Arabidopsis thaliana: one gene and its partner. The protein of the gene in region 1 interacts with the protein of each later gene in a pairwise test. Each region holds a gene or a part of one and is shown on either strand. Other genes may lie near its edges.

Evidence for each region.
Region 2: the proteins of CA1 (region 1) and AT3G59780 interact in a protein complementation assay, tested with the Arabidopsis thaliana proteins (one large-scale study listed by BioGRID).

What each region holds. Positions count from the first base shown.
Region 1 is NC_003074.8:193,768-200,016, reverse strand, and holds CA1 (carbonic anhydrase 1), read left to right. Parts: upstream 1-1,856; 5' UTR 1,857-2,143; coding exon 2,144-2,365; intron 2,366-2,452; exon of another isoform or gene 2,453-3,169; intron 3,170-3,291; coding exon 3,292-3,353; intron 3,354-3,511; coding exon 3,512-3,661; intron 3,662-3,761; coding exon 3,762-3,810; intron 3,811-3,918; coding exon 3,919-4,035; intron 4,036-4,175; coding exon 4,176-4,229; intron 4,230-4,322; coding exon 4,323-4,408; intron 4,409-4,505; coding exon 4,506-4,611; intron 4,612-4,679; coding exon 4,680-4,838; coding exon of another isoform or gene 4,839-4,844; exon of another isoform or gene 4,845-5,125; coding exon 5,126-5,164; 3' UTR 5,165-5,591; downstream 5,592-6,249. Other genes in the region: LSF1 (uncharacterized protein), read left to right, coding at 1-158, 263-368, 481-593, 769-913, 1,040-1,162. UniProt on the Arabidopsis thaliana protein: Reversible hydration of carbon dioxide. Required for photosynthesis in cotyledons. Binds salicylic acid.
Region 2 is NC_003074.8:22,084,574-22,091,118, forward strand, and holds AT3G59780 (Rhodanese/Cell cycle control phosphatase superfamily protein), read left to right. Parts: upstream 1-1,759; 5' UTR 1,760-1,985; intron 1,986-2,090; 5' UTR 2,091-2,332; coding exon 2,333-2,377; intron 2,378-2,540; coding exon 2,541-3,548; intron 3,549-3,644; coding exon 3,645-3,745; intron 3,746-3,844; coding exon 3,845-3,959; intron 3,960-4,110; coding exon 4,111-4,188; intron 4,189-4,355; coding exon 4,356-4,448; intron 4,449-4,559; coding exon 4,560-4,643; intron 4,644-4,736; coding exon 4,737-4,835; intron 4,836-4,947; coding exon 4,948-5,010; intron 5,011-5,086; coding exon 5,087-5,117; intron 5,118-5,227; coding exon 5,228-5,274; intron 5,275-5,357; coding exon 5,358-5,416; intron 5,417-5,513; coding exon 5,514-5,751; 3' UTR 5,752-5,956; downstream 5,957-6,545. Other genes in the region: SAC9 (sacI homology domain-containing protein / WW domain-containing protein), read right to left, coding at 1-29, 140-272, 394-989, 1,083-1,101.

The DNA of each region.
Region 1 (6,249 bases):
CGGTTACTGAAAAAGAACCATCGTGTCTTTGTAACTTGTACCACTGGTTTTGACCGGTCATCCGCTTGTGTGATTGCTTATCTGCACTGGATGACTGATACCTCTCTTCATGCTGCTTATAGTTTCGTTACTGGATTGCACGCTTGCAAACCTGACAGGTTTTTATCCATCTTATCTCTGTCTTGACCATTAACCTGCAGACCATGGATAGCTTTTCTGTTTTAATGAAAACATCAGACAAGTTATATGTATTTTTTCACAGACCTGCAATTGCTTGGGCAACATGGGATCTTATCGCTATGGTGGACGATGGCAAACATGATGGGACTCCAACACACTCTGTAACCTTTGTGTGGAATGGACATGAGGTGACTGTTGCTTCACATGCTTTTATTACTTTGCTGCAATTCTTTATGGAACTCGTGATCTGTAGGGTTGAGCAACTAGCCTCTGTGTTTTAAGTTACACCTTGGTTTACAGGGGGAGGAGGTATTGTTGGTTGGGGATTTCACAGGAAATTGGAAAGAACCGATAAAAGCAACGCACAAAGGCGGTCCACGTTTTGAAACTGAAGTTAGACTTACACAGGGAAAGTAAGTCATGCTTCTTTTACCTTTCCCGTTGATGCTTTTTTTAAGGTTCAACAGTAAAACGTCTCATAATCTTCCCTGCATGTTAATTGTGACTTTTGAGGGATTGCAAACTGCAAAGAAACTTATGAAAATGCATTTGTGTCATATAACTTGGTGATTATTGACAATGTGGCAGATACTACTACAAGTACATAATCAACGGTGATTGGAGGCATTCAGCAACTTCACCAACGGAAAGAGATGACCGAGGAAACACGAACAATATAATTGTAGTTGGTGATGTTGCTAACGTCAGGCCTACAATTCAACAACCAAGAAAGGTTACTCCTACTATGCAGTAGTCTCTTCTTCATACAATAGGAAAAGCTTGAATAAGATGTTCCACGTTATATTTGCCTGATTGGTTCAAGACATAAACCTGAAGCAACTTGTACAATGTTTTGCAGGATGCAAATATCATAAAGGTGATCGAGAGAGTGTTAACAGAGAGCGAAAGATTTAGGCTGGCGAAAGCAGCTCGGTGTATCGCATTCTCAGTTTGTCCAATAAGACTATGCCCAAAGTCGTAGAAGTTTTGTTTTGGCATAAGTTAAAATGTTACATCCATTCTTCTGTCTCTATCCATTCCTCGAGGTACTTAACCCTAATATCGTTGTGAACAACATTGCCACATTCGCGCACTCTATGACAAGAGAATGTTGACATTATGTTGTGTGTTTGCATGAAAAAATGTCGACATAGTTTCGCCGTTGCCCACTTTACATATAAGTCCCAAAACCAACCCTAATGCGTTACTGGTCTCTGTATTTCTTCTTCATTTTCTCTCTCTCTCTCGCTCTCTCCTAACATGTTGAAGAAAATAGAAACTCTGTTATCTAATGTTGCCTATATGATGATTTATGGCCATGGAAGGTCTGAGAGGAGAGACCCTTCTTCTCTATTTTTTTTATTTCCTCTTCATTTTCATGCTAAGAGTTTTCACTGAGTCTGTTGTTTCGTAGAGTAGAACAGTCCATGATCGATGTTAATCCTTTGCATCTTCTAGATTGTGTATACAATAGCAATCTCTGGTCTAGAGAGAGCCTAGAGAAGTATGGATCTTTCTATATGTATACCACAAACAAATGGCCTAACATCTAAAGTGGGTGGTGATTATTTAAGATGAGAGCCTGAGAGGGTAAGTGAAAGAGGCTGATCCTTGTTTTCATGATAAGGGACCTTATCCTCTAAACCTTTCTGAGACCTTTTATTTTTTTATAAAAAAAAGAATTGAAAGAAGAAAAGAGCACGTAAAAGTTTTGAAATCTTGAGCTAATATTCCTCATCCACAAGAAAAGAAGAAAGTTTGTTATTCACCGCAGCTATCGCTTTCGTTATCCTCGTTCCCACAACCTCACCATGACCATGAGACTCCGTTCTTTTAAACTCCCAAATCTTTCAACCAATCCCATTATTCACTTAAGTATATAGTAGCTTCCATAAGAGTCTTAGTTCTAACTATAAATACACATATCTCACTCTCTCTGATCTCCGCTTCTCTTCGCCAACAAATGTCGACCGCTCCTCTCTCCGGCTTCTTTCTCACTTCACTTTCTCCTTCTCAATCTTCTCTCCAGAAACTCTCTCTTCGTACTTCTTCCACCGTCGCTTGCCTCCCACCCGCCTCTTCTTCTTCCTCATCTTCCTCCTCCTCGTCTTCCCGTTCCGTTCCAACGCTTATCCGTAACGAGCCAGTTTTTGCCGCTCCTGCTCCTATCATTGCCCCTTATTGGGTATACATTTTTACATTCATCACTGTTTCTTAACCTACATTATTTCTTACATAACTTACATTGCTGTTTACGTATAATAGGGGTACATTACATAGATAGCAAACTAAAGTTACAGAATTTTAAAATTTGTAAAGATTTTACGAAATTATTATATAGATTCTGCAATTGCCATTTTAGTGATAGGAACAAAAATCTTCTATAGAAACTAGCTTACGAAACTTCCACAAATCTTGGAAACTGTCACATGTGTTTCACATTTCAGTTTTTTTTTCCCTTGGTATTTCCTTATATTATCCTTACTATTATCATCCGTGTTTGACTTTTGGTCTTTAGCGTGGTACTGAAAGAATTACCCAAATTAACAAGAATCAAACTAAAGTTGCTTAATTAGTGAATCACAAGCAAGGGAAGAGTTCATTTTCAATCCTTATTCTATACAGATCTTCAAACTACTTGCTTCGACATCTAGTGAAGTTAAAAACAAATCACCTCGAAATATTAAAAGCGTTGTCTCATTCCTACCCAAGATCCGACATTTTTGAAATTTTGAGAGTTAGAACGTACGTAGGATCCACGTGATAAAAGAAAAGTTGCTAGTAGTAGCTTCAACAAAAACGATTCATGAAACTGAGACGTGTGTGTATGCACATGTACCATATGAGAGCGTGTGGAGCATAGTGGTGATTAAGTCGCCATCTATATTTATTCATTCAACCTACCGATTTGGTTCCTACTAGCGAAAATAAAATCATAATATAAAAGACTATAAAATTGTACTTTATCGTATAATGAAGTTCTGAACAGGTTGATTGTAGTTTCAACATTTAAAACACGTCATGACTCGCTCTCTACTTAATTACGTTCACGACAATAAAATATACTAGTACTCATTTTCTTCTAATTTTATTTGGTCAACCAACTTGCAGAGTGAAGAGATGGGAACCGAAGCATACGACGAGGCTATTGAAGCTCTCAAGAAGCTTCTCATGTAAGTATATACATCTTTTCTATTCGCATGCATACATTAATACATGATTAGATTAATAAAAGCTAAAACATTATTATAAATTAGTAACGGGATTTTTCAATACTACTTAATTCATAATTTTTGTGATTTAACTATAAATGTATATAAACATATGGCAGCGAGAAGGAAGAGCTAAAGACGGTTGCAGCGGCAAAGGTGGAGCAGATCACAGCGGCTCTTCAGACAGGTACTTCATCCGACAAGAAAGCTTTCGACCCCGTCGAAACCATTAAGCAGGGCTTCATCAAATTCAAGAAGGAGAAATACGAGTAATATATATTTCTATTTCATTTGTTTGTTCTTAATTATGTCACCAACTAAAGTGGTCTAGATTAATTAACTGGTTCATATTTATACTTTTATTTGCAGAACCAACCCTGCTTTGTACGGTGAGCTCGCAAAGGGTCAAAGTCCTAAGGTAAATTAAAAATAAAACTAATACTATGTGTATATCATGGTTGCTTATAAATTAAAAATGAAACATTAAGAAAAAGTAATTAACAAAGGTGTGTGAATGGTGGTGCAGTACATGGTGTTTGCTTGTTCAGACTCACGTGTGTGTCCATCACACGTTCTGGACTTTCAGCCAGGAGATGCCTTCGTGGTCCGTAACATAGCCAACATGGTTCCTCCTTTCGACAAGGTTAATAATTTAACACGTCTGTCTCTCTATAGATATAAACTCTTCTATCTTAAACCTTCTGCCTCTTGAGTCTTGACTTTTGTCTTGAGAAGTCGTGACATTCACTTTCTATTTTCATTTTTGGGTTGCTAAATTGGCAGGTCAAATACGGTGGCGTTGGAGCAGCCATTGAATACGCGGTCTTACACCTTAAGGTGAAAATAAAATAAAATAATTAACACCTTAACCAAAAAAAATTATTTATCAAAGTACATGTAATTAATTTTTGAATGAATTTATTACTGTAGGTGGAGAACATTGTGGTGATAGGACACAGTGCATGTGGTGGGATCAAAGGGCTTATGTCTTTCCCCTTAGATGGAAACAACTCCACGTAAAATATCTCTATATCCATTTTATTAAAATTTAATCAATTTTAATAACAGGATTTATTAAATGAGATTAGTAAAAAATATATACGTTAATTGCAGTGACTTCATAGAGGACTGGGTCAAAATCTGTTTACCAGCCAAGTCAAAGGTTATATCAGAACTTGGAGATTCAGCCTTTGAAGATCAATGTGGCCGATGTGAAAGGGTATACAAACACATGTTAGATCGATGAGCTGATCATATATAACAATATAAATGTATTGATAAATGCAGGAGGCGGTGAATGTTTCACTAGCAAACCTATTGACATATCCATTTGTGAGAGAAGGACTTGTGAAGGGAACACTTGCTTTGAAGGGAGGCTACTATGACTTCGTCAAGGGTGCTTTTGAGCTTTGGGGACTTGAATTTGGCCTCTCCGAAACTAGCTCTGTATGAACCAATCCATCATCATCATCATCATCATGACCATCCATCATCATCATCATTATTATCATCGTATATAATATATATCTACCCCATATGTAATTTGTAATGTGCCTTTGACTGTGATGAGTTATCTCTCCCTCTCTACCAACTTTCTTCATATATATAAAACAAAAAGGAAAAGCAGATGATATAGATCTTTCGTGGTTTAATTATGAACAATTGTCTTTATTATTTGTGTATCAAATCGGTTGTATTTATGGTTTGATTTTATTTTCTATGTTGTTTGGTAGGTTAAAGATGTGGCTACCATACTACATTGGAAGCTGTAGGAAACTCTTTGAAGCCTTACCCGATTTCACATTGTCAATTCAATAACACCAAGTTGTTGTTTACATGCAGATCTTGATGAAACTGGTTTTTGATTTTACAGAATTAAAATCTTGGGGGACAGAAATTTGAATAAAAACTAAAAAAAAAAAAATCAAAAAAAAATCATTGAATCGTAAATAAGGATATCCGGGACGGGCGGATCCGGATAATGAAAAAAATGAACCCGGATATCCGGATCCGGTACCATTAACTACATGAAATAAAAAGGCTTGGAAACCCATTTAGCTAAAAGCCCATATATTTAACAAACCAAATATTTTTGATACCCAAGCCCAATTAATTATCACTTGCCGACACAAACACAAAATCATTCTTTGAAGGTCACAAAATCATTTCGATCTCTTCTCGATATCTCACAAACCCTAGAACTCTGGATCTTTTAATTTCTGGGTTCGATACCCAAATCCTTAAAACTGTCGAATTCTGGTACCCGGAACCCGGATATCCCAGTCTAACAGATCCGGATGCGGATAGTGAAACTGTAGATTTGTAGCTTCGTAGTTTTTTGGTCATATAAAATATAAACATCTGAAATTTGTCTGTGTATGTTGCTGTTTAAATTTGTCCGCCTACACATTATGGGCCTAGGCCCAAGTTTGCAATTCTTTATTGTGGCAATTAAATGGTCAGGTTCGGTTTAGGTTTTACATATCCATCATGAAAAAGCACCGTTGAACGGGCTTAAATCTTTGTCCAAGGACGACGTTTATGAATCCGGTATAAATCGATCGAAGAAGATTAAACCCACAAAACGAAAAGGCTAAAGCTTGAGGAAAAAGTAGCAAAGTGACCAAGAGTCCCATGATTTCATGAAGACATGAACTATATATATCTACTCATTGATTTGATAAATACATTATATTTGATGTTACATATTTTTATTTGAGATTTCTAATATATATTTTCAGAATGATAAATTTTATTTTTATATTTATCTTGAACTGATTTTTAAGAGAAAAATACACCGAAAGAAAGCGAAGAGTTAATTGCCTACCAAAAAAAAAGAGAAGAGTTAAAACTTTTT
Region 2 (6,545 bases), about 22 Mb from region 1:
TACAAGCTGCTCACACTCAACTTCGTTACCTGCACTACACATATACTTCTAAATTAGGCCCTAGTCAATCCAGAGCCACACTTTTTAAGAGAACAACAAAGAAATTAAGAGAGAGGAGCATTTTAGGGGGGCATGTCACCTGTGCCAGAACATGAATTAATGCCCCTAGCTAGGTAACGAGTCCCTGGATGCAGTCTGCTACGACGGGCCATTAGAGCAACAATCCCTTCTAGCTGGCCTGAGCTCCCAAAAGGTCGATATTCTGCAAACCCCTATAATTAACATCAAATAAGAAGATGATGTCATATCAATTTATATGCTTTTGAATCTTCACACAAAACCGAAATCGGATAGGTAGATCAACCTTCATCAATTCATTAATGGAGGACGAACCTGCAGAAGAATGACACAGTGTTCAGGTAGCCCAATATTCTTAAAAGGCACGGACAACCATCTATTCCAAACAAATTCATCATCAGGGCTTTGAAGTGGCATACGGCTTGGGAAGGGCCGAGTGATGTCTCTAGTATCACAGAAATAGTGCTTCCCGTCGATGTCAAGCTCAGTCAACTCCTGAATATTCTTGGTTTCACCTTTCCCTTGAGGCTGTGGATTGTAGAGTGGTATTTTGACCCATTGACTCTCAGCCACTGTATATACACATCCACCACCAGGCAAATCTGGAATACTTGGATTTAGCCTGGTCGCAACTAAAAGCATCCCAAAGCTCCCCAAGACAGCATAACCGAGTATTGCCCTGGCATAAACAGAGCTTCTAACACCTCCTCTTGATCCATTCGTAATATAATCTAAGGCTTCACGCTCTGACTTAAAATTATCAAGGCCAGGCTTCCCATTGTACCGCAGGATACCAGTCGTAGGATCGATATAGATAACTTGAGTATCAGCCTTAGATAACAAACTTGCAATGACATAGACTTCACCAGTGTCTAAGGTGACAACAACTACAGATGTCTTTTTTGAACCACCTACACCAAGAAGATAAGAAAATTAGCCAACCAAATGATGAAAACAGCTAGAGTGAAAAAAAAAAACACTTGAATCTTCAAAAAGAAACTAACCTGGTGGATGCAGATCCATCTGAGCTCAGGACCAAGCGGACCAGGTGCCCTCTTTGACAGCTTCAGGGACCAAGATATCAATGTGGAACCAAAAATCTAGCAAAAAGTCAACGAAATAAGGAACTTCCATCAGAGAAATAAAAAGCAATGGAATCCAAAAAATGTAGCATAGTTAGTTCTATACTTAAAACGATTCATCAACGCCAATTAAAATCAAAACAGAGAGATCATCTTCCTAACAATAATCTCCGATATAACTGAGACAAAAGATCAGAATTTTCTCACAAATTTCGATAGAAGTAATAAAAAAAACGAGTACCAGAGATCTGAGACTTTTTCCGAGAATAGCAAAATTAAAGACGCAAATCGATAATTCAAATTCCGAGAAAGCAGAAAGATAAATTCTTCAGAGAACCCGAATCGAATCATAAGTCATAAGAGAAGGAACTCACCTTGAAGTTGTAGAGATGATCAGATGCAAAATTTACCAAGTCGTTCGTAGACGAACAAACGAAGAGGAAGAAGAGTAAATCTGCTGTTACCCAACACACAGTACAAAAACAATCATAGTACGACACGTGTGAATCTGTTTAATTGATTTATGAAAAAAGAGAAGAAATTATTGATAACTTGAAAATTGGTCCAATTAGTTTTAAAATGTAACGAATAGACCCAATCAAAAGAAAAGACAAAATAAAGTATAGAGATGATGAATTAACGGCTTTGGACAAGCCACACGATTCGCTTTGCTTATCTTGCTCCACCCAATCCAAATTGAGACACAATCTCTATCGAATCCACGCGCCTCTATCTTTTTTCAATCGAGTCGCCATTAACATATTTCATCAAGCTCAGTCCACTCTTCTCATGAAACTTCATCATCATCGACCTTGACCCTGATAGGTTATTAAAGTTACTGCATTTGATCTCTCTTTGAACTGCTTCTGTTGTTCAAGGTTCCAAACATGCTCAGACTCAGTAATTGAATAATGGGTATTCTTGTTGCAGGTTTCAGACGACACCCATTATTGTAAATCTGCTGCTGGAGTCTTTTTTGTCTGAATCTTCTTCTTGTTGAGACACTGTTTCTTCTTGGTCTGTGATTTTTGTTTTGTTCTCATTAGGACGTTCTTTATTCCGGTTCAGATTTACTGGATCGTCATTTTCTCTTTGAAATTGTATTTTTTTGTTCCTTTTCTGGTATGTTGTGAAAGCTATGAGATTGCTGTAAGAATCCAAGACTGACCAACATGTTTCCCCTGTGCTCGGCCACAAGCTGCCGTTACCATTCTCAGGTTAGATTTTCTTTATAGAAGTGAAAGTAAATAAGCTAACTGGTAGCAAATTTATTGAAGTCATCCAATTTGAGCTATGGGTGTTACGCTTTGTTAGTGCTTTGGGTTTTTGGATTCATTTTCATAGATAAGTAAGTACCTCATAACGGGTTTGTTTCTGCAGATTTTATTTCCTGGCAATTGGCGAGGCTGTTCTTCCTTCAGGAGAGAGTTGATTCACAGATACAGTTCAGGTGACAATGCCTTCTTTGGTATCTCTAATGGAACACGCCTGCAGAAGAGTTTCGTACCTCAAGCCACTGGGAGTTTCTTGACCGGTACTATCGAAAAAACAGAACAACCAGTATCAACATTCGGAAGTTTGTGCCAGAATGAGTTGGACAGAATAAACTACATGGTTTATAACATGAGTGAAGCTTTTGTAGCGAGTGATGAGGGACTGACATATGTAGAAAATGGAGAAGATGTGTTCCCTGTTGAAGCTGTTGCAGCAGATGTTTCTCCTGTTGAAGCTGTTGTACCAGATGTTTCCCCCATTGAATGCCTTTCTGCTGAGACTTTAACCGATAAGACCAGTAGCCTTATAGACTCTGTTGAATCGGGAACCAATGCGACTGTTAAAATATCTCCGGATAGTTCAGTCTCACTTCCTGATGCGAAAGCTAGCTTTGATGACTTTTCTTCTGGGCTCAAGCAGTCCTTCAGCTCTTCACTTCCTGATGCGAAAGCTAGCGTTGATGACTTTTCTTCTGGGGTCAAGGAGTCCTTCAGCTCTTCACTTAACCAAGGAGAAAATGCTGTAAAGAACACTTTGGAGTCCTTCTCCTCGTCTGTGACATCCATTACAAAGAATGCTTCTGAAGTTGTAGATAGTGCAGTTAACAGAGCGTTTTCTACGCTAGACCAAACGGGAGATGTAGCTGGAGACAAGTTTTCGAGTTTTTCTACTGGCTTGAAGGAAGCTTCAAACAGAGCAGCTGTTATTGCCATTGATCTGCTGAGGCAATCAGTTAGTCTTGGAGAGAGATCTGTAACAAATGGAGTTTCTTTTGTTGTGTACTCTTATGGATCAGCAAAAGAATTACTTCCTCCAGATGTAAAGAGTGCCCTTAACTCGTCAGAAGATGTTGCTCTAAAAGTATTGAGTCCCGTGGGAGCTGTATTGCAGCAGGTGCTTTGTCTTATATACTGAAGGTTCATTCATATTTTCGTAGAAGAAAATTAATTCTTTATGGACTACAGTTGCTAACAGTATCATGATGAACAGGTATCTGTTGCCATTGGAGGTTTGGAGAGAAATATCGGTTTGGATCCAGATGACCCAATCCTTCACCTTTTTCTCTTCGTAGGCACCACAGGAACCTTTTGGTACACGGCTTTTCTTACCCTAGAAGGATATTAAACTTGCTTTTCTTGAGAGGACAATGTAGTATAGAAGAATTTATATTTTCCACCAGATATTTGCAGGGTTCTATATCGGGTTTGGACATATGGTGGATATGCTGGAGATTTGTCTCCCAAGTCAACTCTGGACCTTTTAAAATCAAGAGACAAGTCAGTGCTCATAGATGTCAGGCCTGAAGTAAGACGCTCTTAAGTTTCTAACAAGTTCCCATTTCATGATATATAACTTTTCAAAACCCACCACAATTTGATTATTTCTTTCACATAATGTTCATCAAGGAGTTTGGGTTGAAATAAAAATGCTCATTTTGGCTACTGTCTTTTTGAAGGCCTTGAGAGAGAAAGATGGAATACCTGATCTGCGGAGATCAGCTCGATTTCGATATTCTAGCGTGACACTGCCTGAGGTTGGTTTTAGCATCCTCATTGTTGTTGACCACAGCGAATATAGAAACTCTACACATGTAATCTATGAACACAACGAGGTTTCAGCAATCAGTGCAACAGAAGTAGGATATCAGACTTTTCTTTATTCACATTTTTTATGGGTTCTTGTTCTTGATTCATGTTTAAGGTTGACGGTGATGTCAAACGGCTACTGAAAGGTGGAAGTGAAGTAGATGATATCTTGACAGCAGTAATCATCAAGAACTTGAAAATAGTTCAGGTGTGCTACCTTCATGCTTCTTTTGTAACTTACTATGGTTTTGTGGCTCGAGCTGTTTCAGTTTCTAAGTATGCTGACATCTCATAATTTTGCTTACTCTCCCACTAATAGGACAGGTCCAAGGTTGTTGTTATGGATGCTGATGGAACTCGTTCAAAGGGTATTGCAAGAGCCCTGAGAAAAGTTGGGATTAAGGCAAGTCATTCAGGCATAATTCACTTTGAACACAATAAGTTACCTTTAAACATTTTCGAATAAGCTCTTCTTTGGTTGCCTATGATGTGACAGAGGCCATACTTGATGCAAGGTGGGTATAGATCATGGGTACAGGAAGGTCTTCGTGTGAAAGAGCCAAAACCTGAGACAACACTTACCATCCTCAACGAGGTAATACCATATGAATACAAATATGTTTGGACTGTTTCTTCAGCTAGATGAAATTGAAACTGCTCTCAAATCTTTTCATCAGTAAGTTAAACATATCTTAAATGCTTTTCAGGAAGCTGAGGCGATTTTTGAGGACATAAATCCCTCTCCATTGCAACTATTTGGAGTTGGTGTGGTATGCTTCTAGTTCTATTTTTCTATTTCCGTTTAATAATAATCCCATCCTGACTAATATAAGAAGATATATGCAGGGTTTTTTCGCAGCATTGTATGCTTTGTCTGGTGCGTTTAATTCTTTCTCATTTCCCCTTTAGAATATCTCATATTCTCCACAACACACAAGCTCCTCACATCCACGTTTTGCACTAACATGATTGCTCTATCTCTCGCAGAGTGGGAGAAAACACTGCAACTCATAGCTGTCATCGGCCTTAGTCTGGTATATACTAGCCTTTCCAGTTTCTAAGTTTTGTCAAATTATAGTTGCTTTGTTTTGTTTTTCAAGTTTCAAACATTATGCAGACTATATACCTACGACTTTCTTCATATGATGACTCCGAAGACTTCAAACAAGACGTCAGGTATAAAAGCGCCATCATTAGACCCTTTTTCCATAGCAAAAACTCAGCGAAACCTCTGTTCTGTCTTAACAAAGATTGTTTCATCTTCTTCTTCAAGGCTGTTGCTTGCACCTGTGAAACTCGGAGCTCAGGCTTTCTCGTGGGCTGCAGGAAAACTAGAAACAAATGGTGTTGGCCTCCCAACTTCGCCTTCTTCTTCAGATGTTCGAAGCCGGGTTTTGCAAGCTGCTGCTAAGCATGAATCGAAACCCTCTGATGAAACTTCTGAAAGTCTCCAAGATGCATCATCGTCACCAGAAGAAGCTTTGAACAACGTTGATGTCTCCGAAGCGTAAAGACTCTGAAAATTGTTTTCTATTTTTCTTATAATTGCCAAGAATTACTTTTGTTCGTCTCTTGGAACCGTTAACATCGGCAACAGAAAAAGTGTAATAAAAAAAAACTGTTTTCTTTTCGTTCGGATGCTGAGATTTGTTTTGCAAATTTAGAACTAGCTAAATTGGGTCAAAAGTTATAGGTTACACGTAAAATTATTACAGCAATTTCTCCCCTAATAACTTTGGGCTTTAGGCCCAATAACAGAAGGCCTTAAAGTGGCATACTTAGGGTTTAGTGAAAAAGCAATCGTCATCCTTGACTCAGGGGTCAGGTCAAATCCAGGAGAAGAAGAGGTAATCATTCTACACAGATAGAAACATTTATTTTTTGTTTAATCAAAAGCTAACATTTTGTTGTGACAGTTCTCGTGTTTTCTTAATATAGATGGCAAGACTGATAATCGTGCCAGAATCCGTCTTATTAATCAAGACAAGAACAAATACAACACTCCAAAGTATCGGTTTGTTGTTAGATTTGTATCCTTTTAATTAGTTCATCACATTCCCAGTTGTTAGTGGTGTCTGTTTACATTCTTCCTATCGAGTTTTGTTTGGCCTTGAATGTGAGGAAAGCTAACTTGATTGACCGTATTCGTACACTTCACTCAGCTGCTGAAGCCATATCAATGAAGTTGACGACGAGTGAAAACGTTTCTTCTCTTTAAAAAACTGTATTTCCATCTAGTTTTGATCTTACTTTCGTGGCTTTGAATTTTTACTTTTCATATAGCATCGTTATATTACTCTTTACC